2 linked regions of the Drosophila melanogaster genome follow. The protein of the gene in region 2 purifies or fractionates together with the protein of the main gene of each other region. This does not show direct contact. Each region holds a gene or a part of one and is shown on either strand. Other genes may lie near its edges.

Evidence for each region. Proteins that work in one complex are often made in the same cells at the same time.
Region 1: the proteins of RFeSP (region 2) and UQCR-Q fractionate together in Drosophila melanogaster (co-fractionation; one study listed by BioGRID). This does not show direct contact.

Annotation. Positions count from the first base shown.
Region 1 is NT_037436.4:17,473,163-17,478,364, forward strand, and holds UQCR-Q (Ubiquinol-cytochrome c reductase ubiquinone-binding protein), read left to right. Parts: upstream 1-1,886; 5' UTR 1,887-1,973; intron 1,974-2,057; exon of another isoform or gene 2,058-2,162; coding exon of another isoform or gene 2,163-2,225; exon of another isoform or gene 2,226-2,247; 5' UTR 2,248-2,257; coding exon 2,258-2,432; intron 2,433-2,488; coding exon 2,489-2,583; 3' UTR 2,584-2,962; downstream 2,963-5,202. Other genes in the region: SecCl (secretory chloride channel), read left to right, coding at 1-73, 129-284, 530-909, 974-1,216; CG46525 (uncharacterized protein), read left to right, coding at 2,163-2,225; CG34250 (uncharacterized protein), read left to right, coding at 3,149-3,309, 3,407-3,464; CG13733 (uncharacterized protein), read right to left, coding at 4,787-5,202.
Region 2 is NT_033779.5:1,610,008-1,617,394, forward strand, and holds RFeSP (rieske iron-sulfur protein), read right to left. Parts: upstream 4,154-7,387; 5' UTR 4,070-4,153; coding exon 3,976-4,069; intron 3,417-3,975; coding exon 3,037-3,416; intron 2,982-3,036; coding exon 2,763-2,981; 3' UTR 2,422-2,762; downstream 1-2,421. Other genes in the region: Rab3GAP1 (RAB3 GTPase activating protein subunit 1), read right to left, coding at 1-1,064; CG14352 (uncharacterized protein), read left to right, coding at 1,501-1,861, 1,999-2,393.

The DNA.
Region 1 (5,202 bases), on a different chromosome or scaffold from region 2:
AATATGGCCCAGTTCTGGCACAACACTACGATTGTGCAGTCGGATGGGGACAATCTGCGGCATGGAGCTTTTGGTTAGCATACGAGGTGTTTGTTGGAGGAATATTTCTTAATACTGTTTCCTTGCAGCTGGTAACTATAGTTCGCTGAGCTTTACGGTCAATCTGAAGCGAGAAATTGGCTTCTATTTGCTCGACTATTACCTGCCCTCCATGATGATCGTGGCCATCTCTTGGGTGTCCTTCTGGCTTCAGGCGGACGCATCTCCTCCAAGGATTATGCTGGGTAATTACATTTAAATACTATTAACTTAAGCAACATTTCGTATTCGAAATCCATAATTAATTTGTTGACCTGCAACACAGTGCGTATGTGTTATATTCATTTAGAACATTGCGCATACGTCATGTTGAGTCATAGAATAAATGATTGCTTAAATTAAAGGAATAATTACAACATCTTAGAAAGAATTTAGTAACTCGAAATGATTATGATATGACTCACTTGTAACTAATATCCAATGCTCTTAGGAACCAGCACCATGTTGTCGTTCATCACGCTTTCCTCATCGCAGAGCAAGAACCTGCCCAAGGTGAGCTACATAAAGGTGTCGGAGGTGTGGTTCCTGGGCTGCACCTTCTTCATCTTCGGCAGCCTGGTGGAGTTTGCCTTTGTCAACACCATTTGGCGCCGCAAGGAGAACATTGAGCTGAAGAAGGTCAACAGCAAGTACATCATAAAATCCACATTGACACCACGACCGGCCCGCCGTCAAATTGGCGGAAGTTTGAGCAACGAGTCCAGGGCTAGATCGTGTTCCAGTTTGGACAACATTGTTTCCAGCACGGAGAGCGTGCGCAATGGCAATGGCACTGTGAATCAGGGCTTCAACAACTATTTGACAGTGCATGTAAGTACTCCAGATCGATGTCTTTCATGAGCTTTCTGTATTTTAACATTTCTCATGTCCTTAGCCCAATTTACCCATCATAAGAACGGAGTGCGCCGAGGCAGATACAGTGTCTATCTGCAGTGCGCGTACGAACAACGATCATATCGTGGATGTGGACAAGGATAAAAAGGACACGCCGCCCACCTTTACCACCATGACACCGCAGGAGATCGCCATGTGGATAGACCGGCGGTCGCGATTTCTTTTTCCGGCCATGTTCCTCGCCTTCAACGCTCTGTATTGGACCTTCGTCTATGTTTTGTAAGCGGATGTAGGCAGATGCCGCCGTTTATGTGAAATCTTGTCTATTTGCGTAGTCCTGATCGCGCAAATAATTGTTAAAGTGTAAGATGCATCATCTCATAGCTGTATAAATGTTAATCATTAATAAAGGTATAAACTATATCTCAACATTCGTATAAAAGGCTAATAATGGCAGGAAAAGTATTCTTGCTTGACAACTCATTTTAATCTAATGCATTTTGAATACAATAAAATTATTTATATGATATTTTACATATATTGAGATGAATGTGCCATCTTTAGTGGGCAAGTTTGAATACTTTGTATGCCTAATCACAGAAAATGAAGTTAAAAAGATAAGTAGCCCTCGATTTTACAATTCCATGTGTCTATTCTGTCTATTAATTTGAATAAATATAATCTTTTCGTTCACGAAATTTAAGTTTTTAAGCCGCTCACATATTTTATTACGGCAAAGGTAAGCAATTATGTTTTACATTATTTTATTGTTATATTTTAATAAGAATCCACTAATAGTTTAAAGATCCGCTATCCACACAAATTAGGTTCAAGTCCACGCTGAAAGTCTACAAAGTTACACATTCTGGTGGTGGCCTGCACTTAGCTTCTGTCCAAGACATCAATCTTAAAAAGCGGCACTTTTAGGACATTTTTCAAAAATAAAGCCTAACTGCTTGGTATGTTCAAGCGGCCCGTCCACGGTCACACTGGTTGAGACGAGTCGAGAGGAAATTGCAGCGTAAAAGTCGAATTTCAAGGTAAAAATTTGGCATCATAATCGGTACAATGGCAGGTGCTGGCTCTAAAAATATGCACAATTATGGGCTGCCAAAAGTGCAGAGATCGCGCCCAGTGTTAGACGTACTCGGCCGCCTTCATCCGCGGAGCAGTGCGAAAATTACATAACCTCCGGGTGCAGCAAATATAGGAGCACCACCTAGGCCATAATGTTTATAATAACGATCTGTGTCTTCATACAAATCCTGGTGCACTTCCTCTGCGGTTGCTAATCAAAGCTTTCCCCATCCGCAGCCCCACAACCATGCGTCTATCCTCGATCCTGAATGGCCAGCATTTTGGCAACTTGGCCAAGGTGCACGGCATCGTCACCTACAAGCTGTCGCCCTTCGAGCAGCGCGCCTTCGCTGGAGCGATCAGCAAGGGACTGCCCAACATGGTGCGTCGCTTCCGCTCCAACGTCTTCATCGTTACTCCCCGTAAGTAAATCGCTCAGGATTCCCGTCGAATCGTATTCTAATACCCAATTTTTCAGCCTTCATCGTGGGATACCTGATCTACGATCTGACCGAACGCAAGCACACCGCCCTGCTGCGCAAGAACCCCGCTGACTACGCGAACGACGAATAAGCGTCCCAACTAGCAGATAGTTATGTTAAACTAATTAATAAAACTAAACCCACAGTTCAAGAGAGTTGTGTGTTTCGGTTGCTGGAAGGCTAAACACCAAAGGCTTTGTACTCATACGTTACACATGGGATAATTTTATGTTCTATTTTATCAGTTTTATTGCTCTGTTTGCTAAACAATTCTAGAGAGAATTTGTTTTTCTGGATGAGCAGCTGCATCAGCTGTTCCCCAGTCTTGGTTTGAGTCCAAGCTATCTCGCCCTGCAATGTCTCAAAATAAAATAACAAAAAATTCATATGATGAGAATTTCAAAGAAAAAACACGACATGGAGGCAATATATTACGTTTTAATAATAAAATAAAAATTTTACTTGTTTTTAATATTCGGTAACGGTCTTAGCATTGATAGTCACCCGCTAGAGTTGCAGAGAATCAATCATCGAAAGTCACCCGAAACAATCGATGAGTGAGAAAAGTAAATAGCCCCACCTCTAGCCACCGCACAGCTGTTTGCAAGCAAAATATTGGCGTTCTAATTGGTTATTGATCCGATATTAGTGCATTAATGGACTGCTGCGGTAACGAAGTGCGCAGCGAAAGTATCCACAACATGCTACAGGCCCTGGTGGACTCAAAGGTGGTCAACGTGCAGCTTTTGTCGATTGCCGTGGGCATTTTCTTCGTGGTCATGCTGCTGAAAAACAATTTTCGCAGCTTTTCTGTCACGTAGATGGATCCAGTTTAGTGTTTAATATATCTCATAATGTAATGTACGCTAAGGATTAATAATAACTACCACAAGCCACCTTGCATCTTGTTTCAGTTCTATGGTTTTTGGAGCACTCCTCGAGGCAGTGACGTCACGTACATTATATGTGTAATATTTTGGGTGCTAGAACGTACTCGTGCTTTTTTCGGTCTCAGGGTCATCGTGTTATTTCGTAGGTGTTTGCACAACAACACGCCCAACCCCAAAAATATAATTGTTTTCGAAGGCCGGGTGAACTGGTTTGACTGCCCCCGAGACTTCCACGGATCGTGCAAAAAAAAAGAAGAAAAAAATAGAGCCCAGAATTTGTTAATTTCATCATCAGGCGACTGTGATTCTTGGCAAGCTGTCTTGCGATAAGATAGGTTATTCGAATACTCGAAGTAAGTCCTACTTGGAACAGGCATTCTCATCCAAAAACTGTTGAACTTTTGCCCCAATTGCCGGAGTAGAAGCCATATCCAATCACACTCAATTGCTATCCACAAACGATTCCAATTGACCGGCGATTGATTGCCCAATGTCTGCACGCACTTCCTGGTGCAGCATTAGAATTCAATAGACGCCCGACTTCAGCTGGCTCCATTCTGCAATCCCGTACTGACTCATTGCCCGGCACTTTCAGAATTTATGCAATACTGCGGTACGTGCTCTTATGCTAAAATATTGCATTAGAACACCCAGCGAACGTGACTTGATTGCAGGGCTAGAAATAGCAGCACTACCTTTAAGCCCTCGGATAAGCCACTGAGACAAGTCTACCTATTCTTCTGATTAGTGTTGCTTATACGAACATGAAGGATCCCATAAATATTCTTAAACATCAACTGATAGTCCTGCAACTGTCTAATCCTTCATATAGCCTGAAAATCTACCTAACTTCACAGCTTACTAATATAAACAAAAAAGTTACATCTTTAGTAGTTTATTATTAGTTTATAATAATCAGAGAACATATGCATTTCTTAGAAATTTCCGTGAATAAATGACCATTATTACAAGCACAACTTACGCATTAAACAATAATAATTGATTGATTAATACATATTCATATGTATTAATTACATCATCGGATCATTCAAACTTTCCCAACAAATGCAGTTAAGCTATTGCTTACCACACAAAATAAATCAAAATAAAGCCATCCATTAAGCCGGATCATTAACCCGATTCCATACTGCTGAATGGATAATCCAGCAGCTTGTCAATGAACTTGTAAATCGGGAGTTCCAGGAACTCCGACGCCCGTCGAAAACGAAGTGCTGACTGAAGTTCCGTTTGGTTAGTTTAATCATTTACTGTTCATAAGAGATCTATATATGTATGTACATAACAATTTTTACAGAGATATTCGGTTACAGAAGAAATTTTGTAAAAAGCTTATCTAAAAACCATAAATTTGAATATCCATCAGATAATGGGTACGAAATCAGATCATCCCTCGACAGTTGACTGTTGCTGGTTACTTAACTTATTTTTCAGCGCAGAGGAGAGGCAGTCCAAGTTATGGGATCGAATTTTTGAAGACCTGGGATTCGCCTCAAAACTTGGTGGCTTATCAGAGCCCGCCGAGCTGGAATCTTCCTTATCGCCTTCGCCAAATTTCCGTTTCTTGCGATGCTTTATTTGATCACTCGGCTTGGGCATTGGTAGCTGTTCGGAAGGGATCGATCTGACATCAGCTTTATCGTCATGGTTGTTGTGAATCTTCTGATGGCGCGTTTTTTTAACTTTCTTCTTCTGGAGACTTGCCATGATACTTATCATTTCCTCCTGCTGGGCTTCGTACCTGGAGATGATGGCGTTCCGGCGCTCCAGCTTGGCGGTGAGGAAACCGACTTGGTTCTTGA
Region 2 (7,387 bases):
AAGGACTCCAGGGACCTGGTAACCTCGGCCACCGATTGGTAATCCCTTAGGCAGCAGGAGAGATAGGAAGAGGCCTCAACTGATAGGTAGATTTTTCCCAGCGGAGCTTTGGCGGGCACAAAGTCACTCCTCTGTTCGCTATCAAAGGCCACGTGCTCGGACAGCTCTGGCCAGGTGTAGACCAGGTAGATTTCCGTGCGGGACTCGGGCTTGTAGCCATGTGGGAGGGCACAGAACTGCTGTACTTCCAGATGCGAAACTTCTCCATCCACTACGATATCCTCGGAGCTGAGGCCGTGGTCGAAGGGCACGTACATGGGCATGCGGATGCGCATGGTGTCCAGAGCGTAGGTGGTGCAAACTGAAATCATGGCCGCCTGGGTGTAGGAAGTAGGCACCTTTTCCCTGAACAGGGTAAGCAAACCCATCAGAAACCGACATTCTGGCGGGGCTTTCTCCAGTCCAATCAGCCTGAAATTGGTTCTCAGAGCAGGAGCCAGGGCCACGCCCGTATAGTAGTTCCATTTGGGATCGTAGATCTGGACGAAGATGGGCACTAAGCTCTGAACTTCGGCAGACACAACGGCGACGGCGCTCAGGAAGAAGTTGAACTCCGAGGTGGACCTCATGTAGTTCAGAGTTGGATTCACGGGGTGCAGGACAATGAACCTCCTTAGCCCGTAGATCCTGGCCAGAATGTGCAGCTCCTGTGAGCTTCTTATTGGAGGACCAAAGCTATTCCCAGTGGACATGAGATCATGGTGGCAACTGGTGCGTTGCAGGCAGGTGATCTCCTTCGCCTCCGCTCTGACGAGTTCCTCATCCTCCAGTATGGCCTGGTGATACTCCACCTCAATGCCATTCCTCAACATGTCCAGCTTCTCCCGCTCCACCTTCCAATTGCAGCTGAAGATTTCTTCGGATTTAAGATTTCTGGTCTCGGAATCCGACGATACGTCCCATTTTTGAAGGATTTCGCCCAGCTGGGCGTTGAACACCTCCCAGTCGGAATCCGCACTGAAGTTCTCCCGGTAAAACTCGTTATCGTCGATTTCTTCGGCCATTTTACAGGAATTTAAAGGCGTAAATAAACAAAGGACAACAAACTAAAATCGTAGACAACAATGGACAGCGTTGCCAGAGCGTTGTGATCGGCCATATCAGCTGATGGTTAGGGCTGCCATCGGAAAGAGTGTTGGAAAGGAACCAAATTTTTGTTATTTATTTAAACTTAAAAATAACTTAAGGACCACCTATTTATATAAGTAGCTTGAAATTGGTCTTTTAAGTTGGCAAGTGCGCTCCAGTAATTCATTAATTATTTTGAACTAACGGAGCTTAGTATTTTTCTAAACGGACCGCCGAATTTGAAACTTTTCTTGTCATCCATCCCTGCTTAACATCAAAAGATCTGGCAACTCACGACTCGCAACCAAACAGCTTTTTGTTTACCAAATTTTTAATTTTGTCTTTGCGAAGGGAAATTTAATTACATACGCAATGTTTGCGGCTAAGCGAGTAAGGGCCCGTGCGAAGAACTTCACCATTGAGGAGGAGGAGATCCTGGAGAACCTGATCCTGGCGCATCGCGACGTGATCCGCAACAAGCAGAAGGATCCGGCCATTTGGAGGAAGAAATCGGAGGCGTGGAAGCAAATTGAGGCGGACTTCGCCATTCAGACCGGAATAGAGCGTTCTTGGCAGGCTCTGCGAGAGAAGTACACCAACAACCTGCGGATGATGCGAAAGAACGGAACACTGAGTGACGAGGAGGCAAAGACTGACAATGCATCAGATTCGGTGCAGAATTTGTCCATTTCGGGAGTTTCTTCGCTGGCTGCAGCTGCTGATAATGAAGAAAGTGAGTAAAGGATGGCAGGATCAAAAGCATGAACGTGGTAGTTGACAAGATGTACCTTAATAGTCTTACCATGATAGGTTCTTCTACAGCAATATTTCAGTGCTTTATCTCTAATAAACTCTAAAAACATCTTGCAGGTAGTACCTATTTCGAATCGGAATTGAACCGAAAAAGCCTCAGAAGCGCCTCTACCGAAGTCAAGCTCGTGCCGAATAACTCAAGCTACTCAGTTGACAGACCAAACTACTCAGCTCTGAATGTAAATGAAGAGTCAGTCGATGTGAGCTCAGAAGAGGATGCCACGAATACCCTGAAGGATGAAAAAGTCGTTCTGATCAGGCTGCAACAGGAGTACTATCGATGCGAAAACGCCCGGGCAGCCGAGAAGCACAAGCTTGAGATGGAGAAGCAGAAATACGAGCTGGAGCAGCGAAAGGTGGAGCTGCGCAATATGCGCCTGAAAAACGAACTTCTCGAAGCGGAAATACTCGAAAAACGACGCAAAGTCGCGCAAAGCAAGGCTTCATCCTAAGGAATTGCTAGCTAGGATAAGTTAATTTATTCTTGTCTTCATAATGTCAGTGCTCTTCAGTAATTACTATAGTCCTAGTTAAACAAAAGATTATCGAAAGAAACTCATGTACACTCCTTGATTTTTGAAACCAGAAGCAAACAATTACATCTTCAAAAGATTTAATAATGTCTGTCAAACTTCTAAAGATTCGTCTACATTTTAACAAGTAAGCTGGATTTAGGCTGCTGGATTTAAGCCCTTCACATTTATTCCTCCTCAGTTCGAATGAATTGCTCGTTTATGCTCGGTCGTTCTGTTTGGTTGTATTTATTAATTTACATCGATCCATTCACTATGCAGTTGGGGGCTTAAACGATAACAGCTCCTCTAGCCGACCACGAGAAGACCCTCGTTGGGGAACTCGTGGGTGGGCACCTCCAAGTTGAGGGGCGCGGGTCCCTTGCGGATCCTTCCGGAGGCGTCGTAGTGGGAGCCGTGGCAGGGGCAGTAGTAGCCACCCCAGTCGCCGGCGTTCGCGATGGGCACACAGCCCAGATGCGTGCACACTCCGATGACCACCAGCCACTCGGGCTTGATCACACGTTGCTAAAGAGGAAATGGGTAACAGCATTAGCGAATCGACCCACTCCACGGTACCTACATCATCAGCCTCCGGATCGCGCAGCGTGGATGTGGGCACATTTCGCTCGGTCTCGATTTCCGCGGCCGTGCGGTGGCGGATGAACAGGGGCTTTCCGCGCCACTTGAAAGTAACCGACTTGCCCTCCGGGATGTCGGACAGCTTGATCTCGATCTTGGCCATGGCCAGCACTTCGGCGGAGGCGCTCATCGATCCGATGAAGGTGTTAACCAGGCCCTTGGCCGCATAGGCACCGCCCACGGCTCCGGCGCCGACCATCAAGTAGGAGAAGGCCTTGCGCTCCTCGGCGGTGTCGTTGCGACGACGACTGTCCTTCACGGACTCCCGGCGGTATGCCGAGAAGTCTGGCACCTGCAGGTCGGTGTGTGCCTGGCGATTGGCTGAAAGGAAGGAGGGAATCATTAATTATCCATTGATCGAAGTGCAGAGGTTCTATAGATCCTTGTGCTTGTTTGCAGAGCAGTGTTGCTGATATAATCATAAATTTTTTGTGTGGTGGGCAGTGAAGAGTGTAAACAACATTGTTTTGGGGTTGTCAAGGCTGAAGGTATATTTCTTATAGCCGACACAGGGCATCTTGGGCCAACTTGGCATAACTTGGCGTCCCTTGCAGACAGAGGTGCCAAACTTCGCATGATGATATTCCTGGTCCCAGAGGTAGTAAATCCCACGTTTGGCAGAAATCGATTGAGTATATCCCACAGATCCGATGTAAATTGCAGGTGTGCTTGTGAGCCAGTGATTGTTGTTATTGTACGAGGTTATGTTGAAATTACGTAAGGAAATTTGACAAATCGCCTTAAAGCCGAGTGCAAATCACGTCCTGGTGGCATTTCCAAGCTTTTATTCAACTTTTTCCGCCTATTTCCCGATCCATTCATTATGTAATGGCTGTGTTTTCAGCTGGCAGCTCGATGAATTCGCCTCGCAGAGCCTTACCCATCGAGTTGACGGCCACGCCGCTCGCCTTCAATCCCGTGGAGAGGACCTGGGCTCCGCCTCTGACGTAAGCACGCGACACGGCGTTCATCATTTTGTATGTTTCCCTATCAAATTAAATGATCACGAAAATTTCGACGTTTGTCGTTTTCGTCTGAGAACCAGTGTGACCGCACTCAAGTGGGTGAGAAATACCAGGTAACCTGCAAAAAATACCACAATATACTAGTATATATTAGTGTATAGTGCTGCCAGCTATTTGCATTCTCAGAGTTGCCACTACGATTGCTCACTGTCAGGAGCTGGCCGCTATTACAGCCCAGTAACGGTTTTTTAAATAGGTGAATAGAATTTCAAATAATTTTTGGAACAAATGATATTGTAGCTCGTTAAACCACCCCGCAGTGCATAAAAGCTTTTACTTTAATTTAAATTGATATGCATTTCATGTTGAAATGATAATCCTGCGTCGAATTAAATTGCATTTGTTTCACCTTGCCGTTCAATCCTTCATCCCCTTTCGTTTTCCTTCGAAAGGTGAAAAGGAGGCTCAGTTTCCACCCTTCGACCTTTTCATTCAAGTGAAAACTACCTTTCTTTTCAATTGGAAACTGCAGTGGCATAGATTTAGCCCGGATGAAAAGGGGTTTCCATGGCAAACCGGTTGGTCAACGCACCACCGAGTGGAGAACAAAAGACGAGGTCCAACCACCGGACTTTCACTATCCAGTTTTTCCACTGCACTTTTCCATTTTCCCCCGGGCAGCATCATTATGATGTCATTGATTGGACTTTGCTGGATGTTGCCTATTTTCTTCGGGGTAGTTTCTCTCAGCTTAATTAATAAGCGTAGCTCCTGAATTGGAGATATGCCTCGGCTGATCTCATCCAACGCATAAAATGGCAATAAAAACTGCATAAAAAACAGCCGATGTAGGGGAATTTGTTATGCGCATAAAAGTTTGCCGCCCGAAATTTGGCCAAACTTTAAAACCAAAAAAGCGGCCGTGGCAGCGGGGAAAACTCTCCCGCAGCCGGCTGAAATGTAATTCCTCTGGCGCCAGTCCTGTGATTATCGAAAGTAGTTCTTTTTGATGTCGAAACTTTGCTGCCACCCACTCCCCTCCTCCTTTCACTGGCTAGGTGGCAAGTGAAAGTGGGCCCGAAAGTGCTCCACTCCTCGCTCCGCTGCGATGTGTTCATCTATTTCCCAGCCGGAGGAGGAAAATCTGCGCACATAACGGCGCCTCTATGTACTTGGCCCAAAACACGCACACATACAAAATGGGTTCCTACGGAAAAGTGCGTAAAATTTGGCCAAAAACAAACTTCATAATGTAGTTGGGATATGAACAAGGGGATACTCTACATTTACACAAAATAACAGACGTTTTTTTGTGCGGAAATGAGATTTATTTATTTATTATGCATTTTAATATCTAGGACACAAACAGTAACCACTTGTTATGTTCCAATATTTGACATATCAATTTCTGACAGTGTAGAGGCCTGAAAAGTTGAAACTATGCCGCGTAGGCGACGTGGCAATGGCATCTGCCCTTTCCCTGGATTTTGCGCATCCACCCACCGAATTTTCCAGCCACCACAACGCCTCCAACTTCAAAACTCGACCGCATCCCCACTCAGACTTAACTCTTGTCAAGCTTCGACTGCGTTACACTTTTCAGCAACTTTTACATGGGAAACTGGCGCCAACTACAACAGCAGCAGTAGCAACAACAAAGTTTCAACCCTGCCCCAGGGCAGCCCCCCCTTACCCCCCTTACCACTCCCTGCCACGCTTCTTGCCGCACACTCCACCCCCTTTTCAACCATTTCTGTGCGGCGTGTGCAGCGTTGCGGCTGCGGCAGCAACAACATCAGCACAGCAGTAGCAAGAGCCGAAATACACTCGAAAAAGTATTGTTTAGCTTTATAATTGAGATATTTACATTTCCTAAAGTTTAGCTTAGTTATTATTAACTTTTAAGCTATACCCTATTTGGGAATTATGAATGGTGTGTGTCATATATTGTTTATTTTCAAATACTTTTAGCCGTGTAGGCGACGACATGGCCTGCTTATCGCAACATCAGCCAAGCATAAAGCTGAGCCCACCCAGAGTGGGTCGCCACCCCTTGGAAAAGTTGAAAGTGGAAAATTGTGCGTGGCAGGCAAAAGTTTCTGAGGTTCCCTGGCTGACTGACAGATGCGGAGGCGCCGCCACGCCCACTGCTATCCTGATATCCTGCTATACTGCTATCCAGCCATGCCATACCCCTTCCCTGCGCTGACTTTAACCATTTACAAAAACGAAAATTAAATGAACAGAATCATCTGTGCAGCATCAGCGAGGCGAAGGAGCCGCCAGGAGCTCTGGAAATTGCGGAGGACTGCCGCATGTGCAGCGGTGCTTGGATCCGAGAATTTGGCACAGCTGGCGGTCATTTATGGGCCCATCTTGCCGACTTCCTTGCCCGCATCCTCGCCGGCCTGGTTTTGCATTTGAAATGATTACTTTCGAGCCTACGGCTTCCGTTTCTCGGACAAAAGAAGAGGCTCAAGTCGCCCATTTTTGGCCAGTCGGATTAGGTGACCATGACAATGGCCAGTGCTTTGTTTTCATATTTTATTATTGGCCGAAGGAAATTGCTCTCTGGCGTGGGGGTAATGATCCTTCATCGGATATTTTGAGCAATCCATCACCTTTCTTGGTAGATGGAAAGGTATTTTCATATTTAAATGGCATTGGTATTTGCCCAATAGATTATTGCCTATGTTTTTAGTTAAATTTTTATAAATGGTATAGCATTTATAGGAGGAGTTCATTAGTAATAATTTTAAACCGATTTCTTTGAATTAATTTAACGCTATAAGCTTATATCCGTATCCACTTCCGATCCCTGCCCATATGGCCAGTCCCATCTATATCCTTTTTATCTTCTTCTCGGCTTGAAAGTTTGTCAACACTTCTCGCGCTGCCGCTGGCTAAGTAGAAAGACCAAAGTTCCGAAGGCAGGATACGTTTTTATTGTGGGTTTAAGCGCGAGTGAAACCTGCCCTAAATTCGACCAAGCGGCTTAAATGAACAAAAAAAAACAAGGAAACGCGAGGAGCAGCGGGCAAAGTCGTGTGGCACGCGCAGCAGGAAGCATCCTGGAGGAAAGGCAGGGGAATAAAAAGGAAACGACTACGTTGCGTTTTCCCCAACCGACGGAGGACGCCGTTCCTCTTGCGAAGGCGCAGCACGCATAAATCTACGGGCCCAAATTACATTATTTTGTCATTTTCCTTGGGCGGGCAGGCGGCTCCCTCGGCGTTTTGCTCGACCCTCGATTGCAGTGTCCTGTTCTGGTGTCCTGCCTGCCTGCCTGCCTGCCATCGCCCGCCAGGCACATAAAACTCTGTCAAA